Linked DNA regions of Diceros bicornis minor. The protein of the gene in region 2 purifies or fractionates together with the protein of the main gene of each other region. This does not show direct contact. Links are inferred from orthologs where the notes say so. Each region holds a gene or a part of one and is shown on either strand. Other genes may lie near its edges.

Evidence for each region.
Region 1: the proteins of DHX38 (region 2) and PPP4R3A purify together in Homo sapiens (co-immunoprecipitation; 3 studies listed by BioGRID and IntAct, with this or other methods). This does not show direct contact. The link is inferred for Diceros bicornis minor from reciprocal best matches to the Homo sapiens genes DHX38 and PPP4R3A.

The regions. Positions count from the first base shown.
Region 1 is NC_080763.1:37,456,971-37,465,285, forward strand, and holds the start of PPP4R3A (serine/threonine-protein phosphatase 4 regulatory subunit 3A), read right to left. Parts: upstream 3,443-8,315; 5' UTR 3,184-3,442; coding exon of another isoform or gene 3,079-3,183; 5' UTR 2,924-3,078; coding exon 2,782-2,923; intron 1-2,781. Other genes in the region: uncharacterized protein LOC131421176, read left to right, coding at 3,079-3,183, 3,443-4,163. UniProt on the Homo sapiens protein: Regulatory subunit of serine/threonine-protein phosphatase 4. May regulate the activity of PPP4C at centrosomal microtubule organizing centers.
Region 2 is NC_080771.1:23,320,630-23,328,351, forward strand, and holds the start of DHX38 (pre-mRNA-splicing factor ATP-dependent RNA helicase PRP16), read right to left. Parts: upstream 3,001-7,722; 5' UTR 2,728-3,000; intron 2,592-2,727; exon of another isoform or gene 2,436-2,591; intron 692-2,435; 5' UTR 673-691; coding exon 350-672; intron 1-349. Other genes in the region: TXNL4B (thioredoxin-like protein 4B), read left to right, coding at 5,861-5,992. UniProt on the Homo sapiens protein: Probable ATP-binding RNA helicase. Involved in pre-mRNA splicing as component of the spliceosome.

The DNA.
Region 1 (8,315 bases), on a different chromosome or scaffold from region 2:
AGAGAAAATCTGAAAAATCTCACAAAATCAGGAGGGACTTGGAACACACAACTTTATTTTCATTAAAGAAAAGGGTATGTTCCTACAACATATTTTGCCAGTAGGAACCTATTGAATAAGGATGCAATCCAGAAAATGGGCTCAGTAGCTTGGTGGGACATCTCTCTCTTCCAAGGCAAGGTGGGCTACAGATTTGCCAGGCCTCAGCTTCAGGGGGGAAGGGCATACTTACCCAGACAGATGTGTTCTGTAACACGGAGGCCACAAGTACTTCCATTCAGAAACTGCCTTCCTGATTTTAAGATAAGTGTGTAAGCTCCTCTAATAAGATAAATGACTCATTTTATGGAAAATCAAAAATATTTTCCATTTTGCTCATCACAGTAAAAAGAAAATTCTCAATTATCCTATAACGGAGAATGGAGGAGGCACACAATAATGGATAACCCAAAGTGGCAGTCAATATAAAAACTCCAGTGTGTGGCTTAGAGATCAACTATACTTTTAAATATCTTTAGGCTAAAAATCGTTTTCATTTTCTTTGAGATAAACTTTGAGTCTAAATATAAAGCAGCAAATGCAAATAAACAGCAATTTGGGAATTTAAAACACACTGTAAACACTTAATGATAATAATTAAATAACTGATACTAATTTCAAGCCACAGGCTAGATGCCTCACTCAAACCCAGGCACCCTTCCCCCACCCCAGCTTGAACAATGACCTTGCTTCTTAACCTAGCTGTGTGATCTTAAGTTACTTAGCCTCTCTGAGCCTCAGTTTCCCCAATCGCAATATATGGCTAATAATAGTGCCTACACCAACCGGACAGAAGTAAAGAGTCTCTGGCACATGGTAAGCACTCAATAACTATTAGACTGTTATTCCTATTTGGAGTTTTCCTGTTAGAAAAAAACGTTAATCATCAAACTAAAGATTATTTCCAACAATATCTCACAAGTATCCTGGAATTTTCTAAGCCCACTCTTTGGATTTAGTTTTCCTTACAACTTAAATTTAACAAGGGCCCATCAGTTAATTTATTCCAGCTCTTTCCCCATTAGATAAAATTAAAGCCATTTTGTTTTAGCCATTGCGGCTATTTCCAAAGTGGTAAAAATAAAAATTGGAAAAAAACTTCCCCTATTACTATGTTAGTAGAGCATGATTCCCTGTGATAGTATGACACTAAGACTTAATGCATAAAAATCCTTTAATAAAGGACTTTGTATAGTAAGTCCAATTGAACACATGATGTGAAAGTTTATGTGTTATTTTAAATTACGAGACTTCAAATAATTGATCTCAAATCTACATGTTTTCATTTCAAAAGAAGTTAAATGAACCTACAAAGCCCACACCTTCCAACTCACTATGTAAAAAGTTTCCCAAACATCCAAAGATGTAGAGGTTAGTTGGTTACTATTCGATAGTGTGCTTTTTTGTATGTCACTAACACCTGACATTCAAACTTGTCTTTTACGAGTCAGATAATAGGCCTCAGAAAAATATACCCAATGTATTCAGACCCTTTAAATGCCTCCAAAAGGAAATAATATTTCTCCAGGTTTAAGTTATATGGGGAGGCCTTACAGAGGTAACCTGTGGGCAATATACTCCAAATTACCACTTTTCGACTCAAACTAAAAATCCATGTTCCTAGAGTCTTCAATTACAGAAGAGTGAATCTTGTTTGTTATGGAATTGGAGTTCTGCATAAAGTCCAATTAAAATTCATTGAAATGAATTTGTAACAATTCAGACACAAAACTACTAGCATAATAAACTGAAATAACTGCTATAAAATTATAGACTAATGTAACAAGTTTTCAAATTCAGAAAAAACAATCTGAAAATAGTTTTACCTGATGTGAACATTTTCTGTAAGTGAAATTCACAGTAGAGACAATGTGAAAATAGTTTTACCCGACATAAACATTTTCTTTAAGTGAAATCCAGGGTATATGCCACTGAGGGAAGTGGCAATCCCGTAAATCTTTAAAAACAGGGAAACACTTATTTTCAAACAACTTGATCTTTGAACCTTGAGGGCTCTTTCAAAATACATGAAGCGTCCCTACCTGTTAACTGAACCAAATTATGAATATACATTCAAGCAATCAAAACAGCTCGCATACAATGATTCCAAACTTAGAAGACTTTTACACAGCGAAACTACAAACAAAATTCTGCGTTACTAATGAAAAAGGCAGCTAACACCGGGGAACACAAATCTATCTTCTCACGGCAAAGCAGCAAGTTCTCTGCCGAGTGTAGACTTGCCAGATCCGTGAACCAGTGTTGCCAACCTGCAAAGAGGATCAGAAAGATGTAGCAAAAACATGTTTTTAAAGAAAGAAGAAAAAGCACACCAAAATGTTCTCCAAAGAGTGAAACAGCCAGGAACTTGCTTAGCTCCGAGAAAAGTTTCGTGCCTGCTTTCCAGATGGGTGAACTAAGGCAAAAGATCGCATTAATCAGTGCCTTTCTCAAGGTCACTCGAGTGCAAAAGAACAGTCCCGGTCCCAGGTCCCCGACCTCTCCACGCTCCCAGGAGGCACCGCTCAAACATGCCCGGCTCCGCTCGCAGCCCGAGTGTTCCCCAGGCGCTCGGAGACAGGAAATCTTTCCAGGGCTCTCGTGTAGCTCCGGGAGGGCTGGGGGACCGGTGGCGCGCCCTCCCCCGAGGCGGCAGCCGCCCCCTCGGTTCTCGTAGGGAGAGGTCCCCCAAGAACGAGGGAGGTGGCCCATGACCGCGGGGGAGGCGAGGGTCCCACTTACCGTCGCTCTCGGCCCTGACAAGCAGGGACATGCCCTTCAGCCGCTCCACGTAGCCGGACGACACATGCCCGGTGCCCCTGTCGTCCCACTGTCGGTCCTCGTTGAGCGTGTACACCTTCACTCGCCGCCGGGTGTCGGTCATCGTGCCGCCCGGGGGGCCAGGCCAGAGGCCCCGCCGACTCGCCCGGGAAGGGAGTCCGGGACAGGCGGGCGCCGCGGCGGGAGGACGCCTGCAAGCGGAGGGCGCCCCGGCCTCACTGCCGCCGCTGGCCGCCGCGGGGCCGCGCTGCCGCCCGCATGGCCCGCTCCGGGGCCCGCGCTCCGGGCCGCCGCCTCTCCTCGCCTCCGCTCCTCGGCGCTATTGTGCGGGCCCGGCGAGCCCGGCCGCCCCGACGGGGGAGCGTAAGGCTCCGCAGCCGCCCGCCCCGCCGCGGGAGGAACTCGGGGCGCCGGTCACTGCCCTGCTCCCGCCTCCGCCATGATCGCCGCGAAGCCGCTTCCCGCGCCGCCGCCGCCGCCTCCTCAGGCCGCCGCCGCCTCCTCAGGCCGCCGCCGCCATGTTTTCCTTCCCTCTACCCGGCCCTGCCGCCGCTGCCGGCGGCTCCGCTTCGCTCCGCCGCTTCAAATGTCCGAGGCCGACGAGCGCCTGTCCCCGCTGTAGCTGCCACCACTGCGCGGGAGACTCCGAGAGCCCCCGGCGCCCGAGAGCTCCGACCTCCTGGAAGTCCCTTTCCCCTCGGCGCTGCCGCCACCTCTTCCGTCTTCCTCACACAGCCAAAGCCGCCGCCATCTTGGTTCGCCCTCAATAACGGCGCGCGGGGCCACCCAGGCAGCAGCTGCAGGGGCGGCCCGTTGGCCCCACCATTTAAAGAGACAGGAGCGAGGCCAGGAGCGTCGCTGCGGCGGAGGCCTCGGACGGAGGCGGGAGGCGGGCGCCGAATCGCCGAGGTGGCGGGAACGCAAGGAGCGGAGGAGGCGGATCGCTGGTCGCGACGCCGGTGACGGCCCGGGGCTCCCTCGCGCTCCCTGCACGCACCGCCGTGCGAGCGCGGGGCGGCGTGTGCGTCCGTCGCGCGCTGTGTTCGTCATCACCCCGCTCGGGGATTCGGAAGGGGCGTGGAGCTTGCGTCTGCAGCCGGCCGGCTCTCTGCCCGCCGTGCGCTGGGCGCCTCGGCATCGGAGTCGGGCTGCTGCCCTCCCGTGCGCGTCACCGTCCAGCCGCCGCTGCCCCTGCCCTGCGGCCGCCGCGCCGCTACGGCCTGGGGCTGCCCCGCGGCGCGCCCGCCCCCGCGAGGGTCTTCTCCGGGCCGCCTTTGGGGCTCGCGGACCTCAGGCGCTTCTCCTTTGGGAAGAAATGGAAAAGCTTACGGGAGAGGCCACAGGTTTGGGCAGCGAGGTCAGGCTCAGGTCTTGGGATGTGCCATGGGGCATCGATGTGGCCAGTCTAGAAACTCGGGACAGTTTTCACTTTCTGGGCTTGGTCTAAAACCTTATCTCACAATCCACCTGCTACCTCCATTCCTTTATCAGAACTCTTATTTTTCTAGCCCTCAGTGTTGCCAAAAGGACTTGCGGGGCTTAGAAAAACAGGTACGATACGGTATAATCAGGATGAGTAATTCCCGACGTTAGATGTTAAGCAGTGCTGATCTTCACAAAGGAACATTCTCATTCCTGTCATGCAAATAATAGCCACCATTTTGGGGGCTTTTACTATTTGCCAGGCTGTGTAGGTCATCACTGTCCACTGGAAGTAAAACGTGGGCCACATAGGTAATTTTAAATTTTATAGTAGCCACTTTTTAAAAAAGTATGAAGAAACTGTTGAAATTTATATTCATTATGTATTTTATTGAATGCAGTACCTTTAAAATATCAGGATAAAATTATTGAGATATTTTACCTTCCTTTTTTCCAAAGGATATACTAAGTTCAAAATATGATGTGTATTTTGTCCTCAGTGTAAGTTTCCATTTGGATGCTAAATTTTTTTTTGGAAGCACCTGATCTGTGTTTAGATTTCATTAAAATTTACAATTGAAAAAGTAGATTCATATATTCAAGTTATTTCAAACATACTTAAAATTTTTCCAAAAACGAATCAAGTATCAATTTTTAAATTTAAAATTTAATTAAAATTAGAGGTTAAAATTCAGTTCTTCGGTAGCACTAGCGACATTTCAAGTGCTCAGTGGCCACACGTGGCTAGTGGCTACCATTTTGGCAGGTGCAGGTGCTTAATATCACCAGGAATCTCATATCAAACCTACAATGTAGTTTGAGTTTCACTTGCCCTGATAACATGACCAAGGCTGAGTGGTTTCCCAGAATGTGGGATTTTCAGTTTTAAGATCAGAAGTTGGGGCCTTCCTCAGCGTGTCACATAGAAAGAGCTGCTTGCAAAGAGCAGCCTGAGACTTTCATCATTTACAAACAAAACTGGAAAATTATAAAAACAAGGCAATTTTTTTTTCTAAAAAGTAAAATTTCAACCATTAGGGCATGACTGCAATTTTGTCCACTTTTGATGCAGTAAGACATCATTAAATTTATTTACATGTTATTATTTGATCCCCAAACCAAGCATGAAATAATTTGTGGCAAAAAATCATACTTTTTCTTATAATGTCCTTTTAAGGTAAATTAAACAGCAGGAATCATTTATTAAATGGAAAGAAGATTTAAAATTATATGTGTAAGTAATATTAACAATTATGTTTAAATGAACTCTTTAATATAATCTTAAATAACAGTTGAGTTGTATCAGTCAAGGTTCTACCAGACAAACAACCAGTAGGATACATCTACACGGCGATTTTGAGGAATTTGTCTATATAATAGTGGGGTCTGGCTAGGCAGGTCTGAAATACGTAGGGCAGGTCAGCAGCAGGCTAGAATCCCTTGGGCAGGAGCTGACACTGCAGTCCACAGACAGAATTTCTTCTTCCTGAGGGAAACCTCAGTTTTGGTTTTAAGGCCTTTCCACTGATTGGATGAGGCCCACCCAGATTACTGAGGATAATCTCCCTTACTTAAAGTCACGTCTACAAAATACCCTCACAGCAACACCTAGATTAGTGTTTGGTTGAATAACTGGGTAGTATAGCCTCGCCAAATTGACATAAAACTAACCATCATAGTAGTAAACAAATAATTTATAATTGCGTAATCATATGCCATGCACAAATGGTGATACAATTTAAGAAAATTCCTAATGGAGTTCAATAAGGAGGGGTGCAAATCACAAAAGGTTGAGATACATTGTCATAGTGGTCAAGGGTGTGGGTGTTAGATTGTGAGTCCAGGTCCTGCCTCTTGGTAGCTGTGTGATATTTGCAAGTTTCTTAACCTCTCTGTGTCTCCGTTTCCTCACTTGTAAGATAGGAATAATAATAACTTCTAAGGTCATTATAAAGATTAAGTAAGATACTGATTCCTCCTGTGCTCTAAACATAAGCATTTCCCCTGAACCTTGTACGTTCACCTACATGCATAACATAAACTTGTAAGATATGCTGTGGAGCCAATTCATTATATGATATTTATACCTACCCTATGTTACTTACCTTTATCCATGTTGCAGTCATCATTTCATAGTGTTGCCTGCTCCAAACTAAAAACCCTGGAGAGAACGGGCAAAGCTGCTGGATTGTGCACTGCCTAACTCCAGAATGTGCCATCCACATAGGTGACTACCATGTTTGACCGGGAAGATACTGGTGTCTGTATGGGGGGAAGGGCGTGGCACCACGTGTTAGGAGAGTCAGCCCTAATTGTGGTCCAGCCACTAAATTGGTGGTCTAGGATAAGACACTTAACCTTTTTGGGCCTCAGTTTTTTAATCCTGATGAGATGATCTTTGAGGACACTTCAAGCTTTCAAATTCTGTAAATGTGCAGCAATGATGGTAAGAATAATAGAAATTCTTCCATGAAAGCAGATGCCAATATGACTATATATGAGCATTTTATTACATAGCACTGTGTAATATAAATAGATGAAAATAAAAAAAATAGAAAAATATTCCAGCAGTCATCCATTTTTGTTTTAAATTATTTTCATAAGTTATGTAAATATTTAATTTGGTATGTAATACTTGTGAAAAAATATTACGGTTTCTCTTATCCTATCCTTAACATAATGTTATCATGAACAAATCAGAAAATAAAGGGATTTTAGATAAAAGCTGGAGCAACAACAGACTAGGACCGGCTTAGAACACACTAGCACCCACAATTCATTTCTTTAAATATAAAAACCATCTCACAGGGGCTGGCCCCGTGGCTTAGCGGTTAAGTGCGCAGCGCTCCGCTACTGGTGGCCCGGGGTTCGGATCCCGGGCACACACCGAGGCACCGCTTCTCCAGCCGTGCTGAGGCCGCATCCCACGTACAGCAACTAGAAGGATGTGCAACTATGACATAAAGCTATCTACTGTGGCTTTGGGGGAAAAAAAAGGAGGATTGGCAATAGATATTAGCTCAGAGCCGGTCTTCCTCAGCAAAAAGAGGAGGATTAGCATGGATGTTAGCTCAGGGCTGATCTTCCTCACAAAAAAGATAAATATAAAAAACCATCTCACAAAATGCTGACTAGCAATTCTTCATGTGTTAACAATAAGCAAAACAAGTGGCAAATATATTTATGAAGAACAGATTAAATTGAAAAAATTCCGTAAGTCTATCATTCAGTTACCATGCTTGGGAATTAAGATACTGGGATGGAAATCACAATCAAAATTACTATGATTTATTCTCTGTTCTTTTCATTGTGCAGGTTTCTATCAAAAAAAGAACTTAAAGAGGAAAGTACTTGTCCTTTCTCTTGAATAGCTTTTTATATAGATTTCAGATGTGTTTAACATTCCTTTTCATCAAAAATGTGGTAAATACAAGCTCTCCTAAAAGTACAGCTTGTACAGGTGTAGTACTGATAGGTATTCCTGCTGGAAACCCAATTGGTACTTTGTCGATAGAGATGTATAATAAAAGGAGCAAAAGTCTGTAATGTTTAATTTTCATTAACTAACCAAGAGCTTTATTCATGTTCAACTGTCATACTTAATCTATCACCCTAGTCTTAGAAAAAGCCATTTATGTGTGTGCCCCTGTGAATAATAATATAAGCAGGATAAATAGCCATTTTACTAATGATGTATATTAGAAGGAATAGGTGGATAGCTTAAATATTTGGGTAATTATTTGTTTAAATACTTCTTCACTCCAATCCAGGGAATGCCCTGCTATCAAAATTATGTATTTCTGAAATATGTATCCCTAAATATAGTGATATGCAGTATATGCTACACATTCTTCAACAAATTCCCATTTTACCTAAACGTCAAAAGCCAAAACAGTCAGCATCTACCTTCGTGATCTATTACTTGCCCTTTGAATTTTACACTCCAGGAATGTTGACTGTTTCTAGTTCCCCAAACATTAGTTTTTGTTTTGTGCCTCAAATTTTGTGCCTCTGTCTAGAATGTCCTTTACATCTTATTTCCTTTAAAATCCTTTATGGGCTTCACCTACTCT
Region 2 (7,722 bases):
GGGAGGGCAGCTGGTCAAGAGCCCCTCCATAGGAAAAATAACCTTGCCCCAAACCTTTCGCTGCGCCAAACAAGTGACCTGTCCTTTTCCACTTATCTCCCTGGTACTACAGACTTACACATGACAACGCAAAGCATTTCTAATCCCATCATCTACTCCTCAGTTGCCTTTGAATGTTTCCCATAAATCTGAAGAAAATACCACTTCCTATCTAGCCTCAATATTAAAAAATCATAATAAAATCATAAAGCTCTAAATGTCCAACAAGAAACTGAGAGAGAAACATGGGATGTTATTTTCAGGCCTCCATGTTCATTCCCTTTGGGTCAATCCACCCTAAGGCCTTTACCTGTCTTTTCGGCTACTTAGGCCAGCCTGATCACTGCCCTCCTCCTCAGCGTCCCTCTGGTCATCCTTGCTCTCTTCCCAGTCCTTGTAGGAAGAGATTCTGGACTTCTTCTTGTCCTCCCCATCATCCTTCTCCTCTCGCTCCCTTCGTTTCAAGGAAGCCAATAAGTCCAGTCCCAGCAATGAAGGGCGAGGAGCAGGGGCCTTGAAGACATGTTGCTCACTGGCTGCACTTTTGGTCTTGCAAATAAGACCGCCAACCTGAGAGTCCAGATCAGTGCCTTCCAATCGATGGATCGAGGCATCCTCACTGGTGTCCTCCATGACAGGCTCTGAGATTTCTCTGGAAGGAAGACAAATCACTTGGTATTAGACATAAGTGGAGAGAAAGTTTGGCTCGGCTATATCCAAGGATAATTGTAGTTATAGGTATATTTAGGGAGTTAACCTCCATCTCAAGGCCAGGATTACTTTAGCTATCTCTTGCCAAGACCTTGCCATCAAGTCATTGACAATCTCAAAAGATCCTCTTACCACCACCCCAAGACACATCAGAAATAGATACACACACACACAGCCCACACACGCAAGCCAAACACCAGGATCCAAGAGGATATCATCCAGGCAAGAACAGACCTCACTAAGGGACACTTACTAAAGCCTGGTGGCATCTATAAAGGGAGTATAGGGGAAATACCAAAAGATTTGTAGTCAGAAACCATAATTAGAATCCAGGCTCTTGACATTTTCTACCTGTATGATTGTAAAAATAACTTAATCTGTGGTTAGGCATAATTTCTATATCTGTAAAATGGAAATAATTTTTGCTTTATCTAATCCATGAAGTTGTTGTGAGAATCAAACAAGGAAGTGCATCTGAATGCTCTCTGTAACCATAAAAACTACACAAACGGAACTGTTACATTATTTGCTGTGCTCCTATATACCGAATGAGTCTCTTATCATTTTTTTACATGAGTTCTTCTACTTGTCCCTCCCTTTAAACTACAGATACAGCAAAGTAGAGATAGTGGGGTACAAGGCTACTATCCATGTGATCCATACATTAGTTGTGTTTTGTAGAAAAGAAAAACCTCACAGCAGTCAAAATCTGTTTAATAACAATCCATGTTCACCACAAATACTGATGAGAAGCACTAGGCTGGGAAACAATGTTTCTAAAAAGTATCAAGGTGACTGCAAGATTTCCTCGCATTCAACTTGTACCAAATTCCTCTTTACCTCCCGCTACACACCATCCGTTTATAAACATACTCAATTCTGAGTGCTTGGATAATTCTCCTCATTCCAACAAGTCAGTGAAGCAAAGGAACTGTCAAGGGGTAGGGTACCACCAGAATCCAGAAGGTGTTGCCCAGCTCTAATTAACATGCACAGCTCTATAGAAGAATATTGCCAAACAGACCAGACTCATAACATGGACAGAAACAAGAGATGAATTTTGAAAAATGCCATCAGGCAGAATAGAAAAGGAAGCTGCATATTGGTAACATCTGTCCGCATGTGAGGATATCTAAATAGGAAGGTAAGATATACAGACTCTGCTCACCAGTAGTCTGAACTAGAAAATATATCCCTAGAACGTCATTCTATGCAGGAGAGAGAACCTTGTCTTGTTGACTGCTATGCCCAGTACCTAGCAAAATAAAAGTCTGATGAATAAATGAATAAATGAGTTTAAACTGATTATAAGAGATGAGAGGCCAAACATTTCTACAGACAGCAAGGGAAGATACCAGCAGCACAGGACAAGGAGTCTGACAGACTTAACTCGCTGCTGAGCAGAACAAATAAGGAGTTAAGGGCTAGATTCCGGAGAAGGATTAATGGCAAAGAAGCCACAAGGGATAGGAGAAAAACGATGAAGAAAGAAACTGGATTTACTCATCCAACAATTATTCATTGAGTGCGTTCTGTGAGTCAATCGCTGTTCTGGGCAATAGGATGGAGCAGAGAACAGACAGACAAATGCCCCGCCCTCTTGGAGTTGATATTCTCGTAGAAGACATGGCCTGGTAGAGATACACTGTGACGGAAGAGGAAGACACAAGGAGCCCTACTTGGGCTCGGCGTCCGTCTGGGAGGGAGCTAATGCCGAGACCTGAGGAAGGGTGGACCCCGGGCAGCATCCCTGGACCCCAGTGAGGCCGCCCCAGGCAGCAGGATCTGACCAGAGCAAGGAGAAAGGCCGGGGCACGACGGACTGGCGCAGCATCCTTAGGGTGAGTGAGGCAAGTTGGGTGACAGGGACAAGACTTGCCAAACCCAGGCCAGAACCTGAGCGAGGGACTGATATCCGCCGCCTGGAGCCGCCATGATTGGCGAAGGGCACGTCAGGAAGGAAGAAGGGACACTCACCTCACCAAGCCCGACTCTCGGGACCTTCTGTCCCGGATTCTGGGGCGCCGGTGCCGCCACTCCTGGCTCAGACCGCCTTAAAGAGCCAAAACCTCAACCTCGAAAGCCGCCATTATTGTCCCATGAAACGCTGCGCGGTCCCCTCTATCTGTCCAAGGGTACCATCGAGAGCAGCCCGGAAAACGCCAGTTCCGGGCTCCCTGTGTGGGACACAACGCGACCACGCTCTCAAGGCTAGAGTGCCCTCCTGTGGGGCTCTGATCAGAGACACTTCCGAGTCTCCTTGCGACCAATCACGCTTAGTCTAAGAGGCGAAGGCCCGCCTCTAGTCGGAGAAGGGGGAAGGAGAGGCAGAGAGGTCGGTCATGTTTAATAAGGGCGGAAGTGACTCTAAGGCTTCCGGTTAGAGCCGGGGGAGGAGGCGGTGACTAGAACAGTCTGTTCTTGTTGTTGAGCGCTTGAGTGGGGACTGTTTCGCGTCCGTCTACTGCGGCTGTGCGTTTTCTCTTTCCGTTTCCGTCCCCTCAAGTGGGCCGCTGAGGGTTGCTAGGCATCAGCCCCTGGGGGTACTTTGGAGTAGGGTCGCTGCGGCGGTTGGGACGGAAGAAAGGAGCCGCCCGCGTCCCGGCTTTTTGGAGAAGGGTCGGAGGTGCCGACAGCCCTGAAGTGGAAAAGAGGGAAGTGACTTGTACAAGTAAAGTGAGTATCATCTTCCCTGGCAGTTGTGGGCCAGGAATAGCCTAATCACAGGCATCGTTAAAAACATATACGTCGGGTATTTTGGAGAAGTAAAGACGCGCACCCCAATGTAAATAAAAATCACTCGTCTGTTCACACGCAGAGATTACCACTGATGGTGTGTTGGGATATTCATTTCCAGTTATTTTTCTATGTTAACATGTACAGATGCGTTATAGTTAGGTTTTGTACAAAAGGGGATCTTCATATACTATTTTATAACATTTTTCTTCATGGAGAACTTCAGTATCTGCAGTGTTCATCTCTAACACAATATTTAACGACTCTATAATAGTACATGGCAGGACTGCACTGTCATTTATTTTACCAGTCCCCTATTGATGGCCATTTAGGTTGTTTCCGGTTTTTCACCGTTATAAATGTGATGGATGTCCTTTATTTAAATCTTTGTGCACACGTCTGATTACTTACTAAGAAGGAATTCTCAGAAATGGCATTGTTAGCCAAAGAGTATTTCAGTTTTCTTTCTAGAGAAGTTTTGCTCCTCTACATTCCAGCAGAGACTATGAATGCCTGCCCCTTCACTCACACTCCTGCCATCATTGTTTAATCTTTGCCAATTTAATGGCTTTTTTAAATATATCATTTAACTTGCTTTCCTTTGCTTAGTAGTAAATCTTAACTTTCCAAATATATTTGTCCATTTGTACCTCTTCTTTTGTGAATTCGCTGTTGTTATCCTTCGCTATGGACATTTTCTTAGGTATGGTCTCAGTTTCTCTCTCCTCTTTCCAACATTTATCCAGTCCCACCCCACACCTCTCCAACCCCCAGGTTCCCCTCCTATTGAAGCTTTGTCCTCCCCTCACTTCCTCCTCTTCATCAGTAACATAGGGGAGTTGCTGTTAGTTTGAATTCTAGTGGTGGGACAGAGCCATCTTTTCTTCGACTTTCCCTCTCATCAGTAATTTATTCTGCCACTCACATTTGATGAAGTCCCATCTGGCAATCAACTTCCCTTTGTAAAGTATGACCTGTTACTGGAACTATTTCATTTCCTATGTGAATTTTTATTAATTCATATCTTAAAATGTGACTTGTCACAAAAAAAAATACAGAAAGAAATCCTCCCTTTTATTAGCTTTAGCCAACTTTGGAAATGAATTCAAAATATCAAGTATCTCGATGGAGTCTCTCATGGATGGACTCAAAAATAAAGCTCCTTGATCAAAGAGTTTCTCAGTCATAAAAATAGGAGCTTATTGTAGTAGAAAGAATGCTGAAGTAGAAATCTGGTGGCCTGGATTCTAGTCCTAGTTCTTTAGCTAAGAGTGTAACTATAAACAAACAAGTATGTAAATTGAGGGAGTTAGATTAGGCCCCTTCTATCTCAGTATTTTACGATTTGTTTATTTTTATGTGGTTTTCACACACACTTAATCGGTGTTTGCCATGTGGTAAGATAGGTGCACCTAGTAAGATATGCACCAAGAATCTTTAAGCCAGGACTCATGGTAATACAAATGTTCGTCAGTAAAGGACTGTTTGAAAAGTATGGTCCATACATGAGATAGAATGCTGCTGTGACAAAGAATGTGAAGTTTTCTGTGTAGCGATAGGGGAAGATCTTCTTATGTTAGGTAAAAAGGTGTAAAGCGCAGAGGAGTGGGTAAATTGTATGTGCAGGACATCTGTCGTTTGCTCCTCCAGATCCACTCTTCCTCCTTCTCTAGACTGCTGTGGGACAGGAGGCTTGCCTGCTTCTGCAGCTCCCCTGCCCTCTGATTCCAGAGGGAGGCAGCCAGTGGGAGCATTAGCAGATCAGAGGGAGGGAGGAGAGTGGCTGCGTCCTTTAACTGCAGGCTGGCCTCCTCTACAGCGGCCTTCTCCATTCAGCAGTCCTCCCACACAGTTCTGCTAACTCCTCCCTCCCGTGGCTCCCTCAGGCCTCATGTGGGAACAGCGCCCTACTGTGACTAGCCCCAGAGTACAGCACTGTACCTGTTGTTTCCTACACCCTGCCTTAATGAAAGTCTCTTCAAATTACCAAATTTGAGGATGTCATCTCTCTCCTGCTGGAAAACTGACTGATACAATAGGCTATCTTTTGGGTAAAAAAGGGAGAAACCATAGGAATGCATATTTGTCTTTTCTTGTGAATGCATAACAAAACTCTGGAAGATACATGAGAAACTAATGAAAGTAGTTACCTGGTGTCGGGGGGAATGGGGCACTGAGAACTGGGCCGGAGGAAGGGATTTTTTCACAGTAGGTCTTTCTATATTGTTTCTTTTTAAACCATCTGAATATATTACCTATTCCAAAGCTTTTTAATTTGTTTAACTAGGACTCATGCACTAAGTCTAACTGTCTTTAAACATTACGACTTGATTTTAGGACTAACAGTGAGGATTAATATTTGGATTATTTCAAGATGAGCTTCCTGTTGCCCAAGCTGACTAGCAAAAAAGAAGTAGACCAGGTGATAAAAAGTACTGCAGAGAAGGTGCTGGTCCTCAGGTTTGGGAGAGACGAGGATCCTGTCTGTCTGCAGCTAGATGATATTGTAAGTGAATTTTTACAAGAAATGGTTTTCATTAAAAATCTATACATTCTCACTTCAACATCTGCAAAGTGCATGAAAGGGAGCAGGCAGGGCCCAGGGATGTAGCCCTTCATTCATTAGCACACTTTAAGAGTTGATCGTGTGTCTGCCCTGAGCTGCACCCCTAAACTGGGATTGTGCTGAGCCTGTCCTGGATGTGCTTCCCCACTAACAGCAGTCGAAGCTCAGCATCACCAACAAGGCAGCGAAGAGCAGAAAACGTTAATAACAAGCATCTGTGAACATCATCTTATTGCTCACAACAGTTAGATAATTACTATTACTGTTCCCAGAGGAGCAGGTGAATGCCGGGGAGATCAGTGACTTCCCACAGGCACAGAACCACTACATGGCAGAGCTGGGATTTGAGCTTCGCTTCCTCTGCCTGCAAATATGCTTTTCTAGTGTGCTGCCTCCAGTGTATGCCTGATGATAATCTGTGTTTTCACAGCACATCTTCACACTCTGATGAGTTGGTGGGGAGTATGGGACAGAGTAGGTTTATTCTTGTCTCTGTTTATTATGGAGAGAGACTTACCCTGGACTAAGACCTCTTCCACCATTTTTATTACTGACACCCACTATGTGGATCAATTTTAAGAATCCTCATTACTGTGATTGAAAATGAGTGTGTGATGCGTTACCTGGGGGGAAGGGCCAGAGGATTACACCCTCAGCTGTAGCAGAGAGGGACTATCACTAGGGGTCAAAGGTATAAACTCTGAAGCTGCCTGAGTTCAAATCCCAGCCTTAATACTAACTAGCTGTGTGACAAGGGGCAGATTACCTCCCTGTGCCTCGGTCTCCTCACCTGTGACATGGGAACTGTAATAGTGTATACCTCATAGAAATGTTGTAAGGGCCGGCCCCGTGACTTAACGGTTAAGTGCGCGCGCTCCGCTGCTGGCGGCCCGGGTTCGGATCCCAGGCACCCACCGACGCACCGCTTCTCCGGCCATGCTGAGGCCGCGTCCCACATACAGCAACTAGAAGGATGTGCAGCTATGACCTACAACAATCTACTGGGGCTTTGGAGGGGAAAAATAAATAAATAAAATATTTAAAAAAAAAAAAAAAGAAATGTTGTAAGGATTAAAGGAGTTAACAAGTGTAAAGCACTTAGGACAGTTAGCACATCTTAAGTGCCATGTAGGTGTTTGCTATTATAATTATCATTTATGGGGGGGTTGGAAGGAAAGAGACTTGGGGGAATTTCAGTGTCTAGTACATACTTCTGAATTGTTTTGTGTTTTTGTTTAAGTGAGCATGGATTTGATAAATCCATAAAAAGTTTATAAAAACTTTACAGTCAGGGCCAGCCCCAGGGGCCTAGTTCGGCGTGCTCTGCTCCAGCAGCCTGGGTTCCCTTCCCGGGCGTGGACCTACACCACTCTGTTAGCAGCCGTGTTGTTTTGCTGGCCCACATACTAAAAAATAGAGGATGATTGGCATGGATATTAGCTCAGGGTGAATCTTCCTCAGCAAAAAAAAAAAAACCTTTATAGTCAAAAATAGAAAAAAAAAATGAAGAAATATGTTCACACGATTTACCCAGGGCCTTCTCATAACCCTCCCAACAGTGATTCAGACTCTGAATGATAAGGTTACACTGTGTCTAATGTGGAATTCAAGCAGGCTAGATTCTGGGCCTAGGAATTTATTTATTTATTTATTTGTTTGTTTGTTTGTTT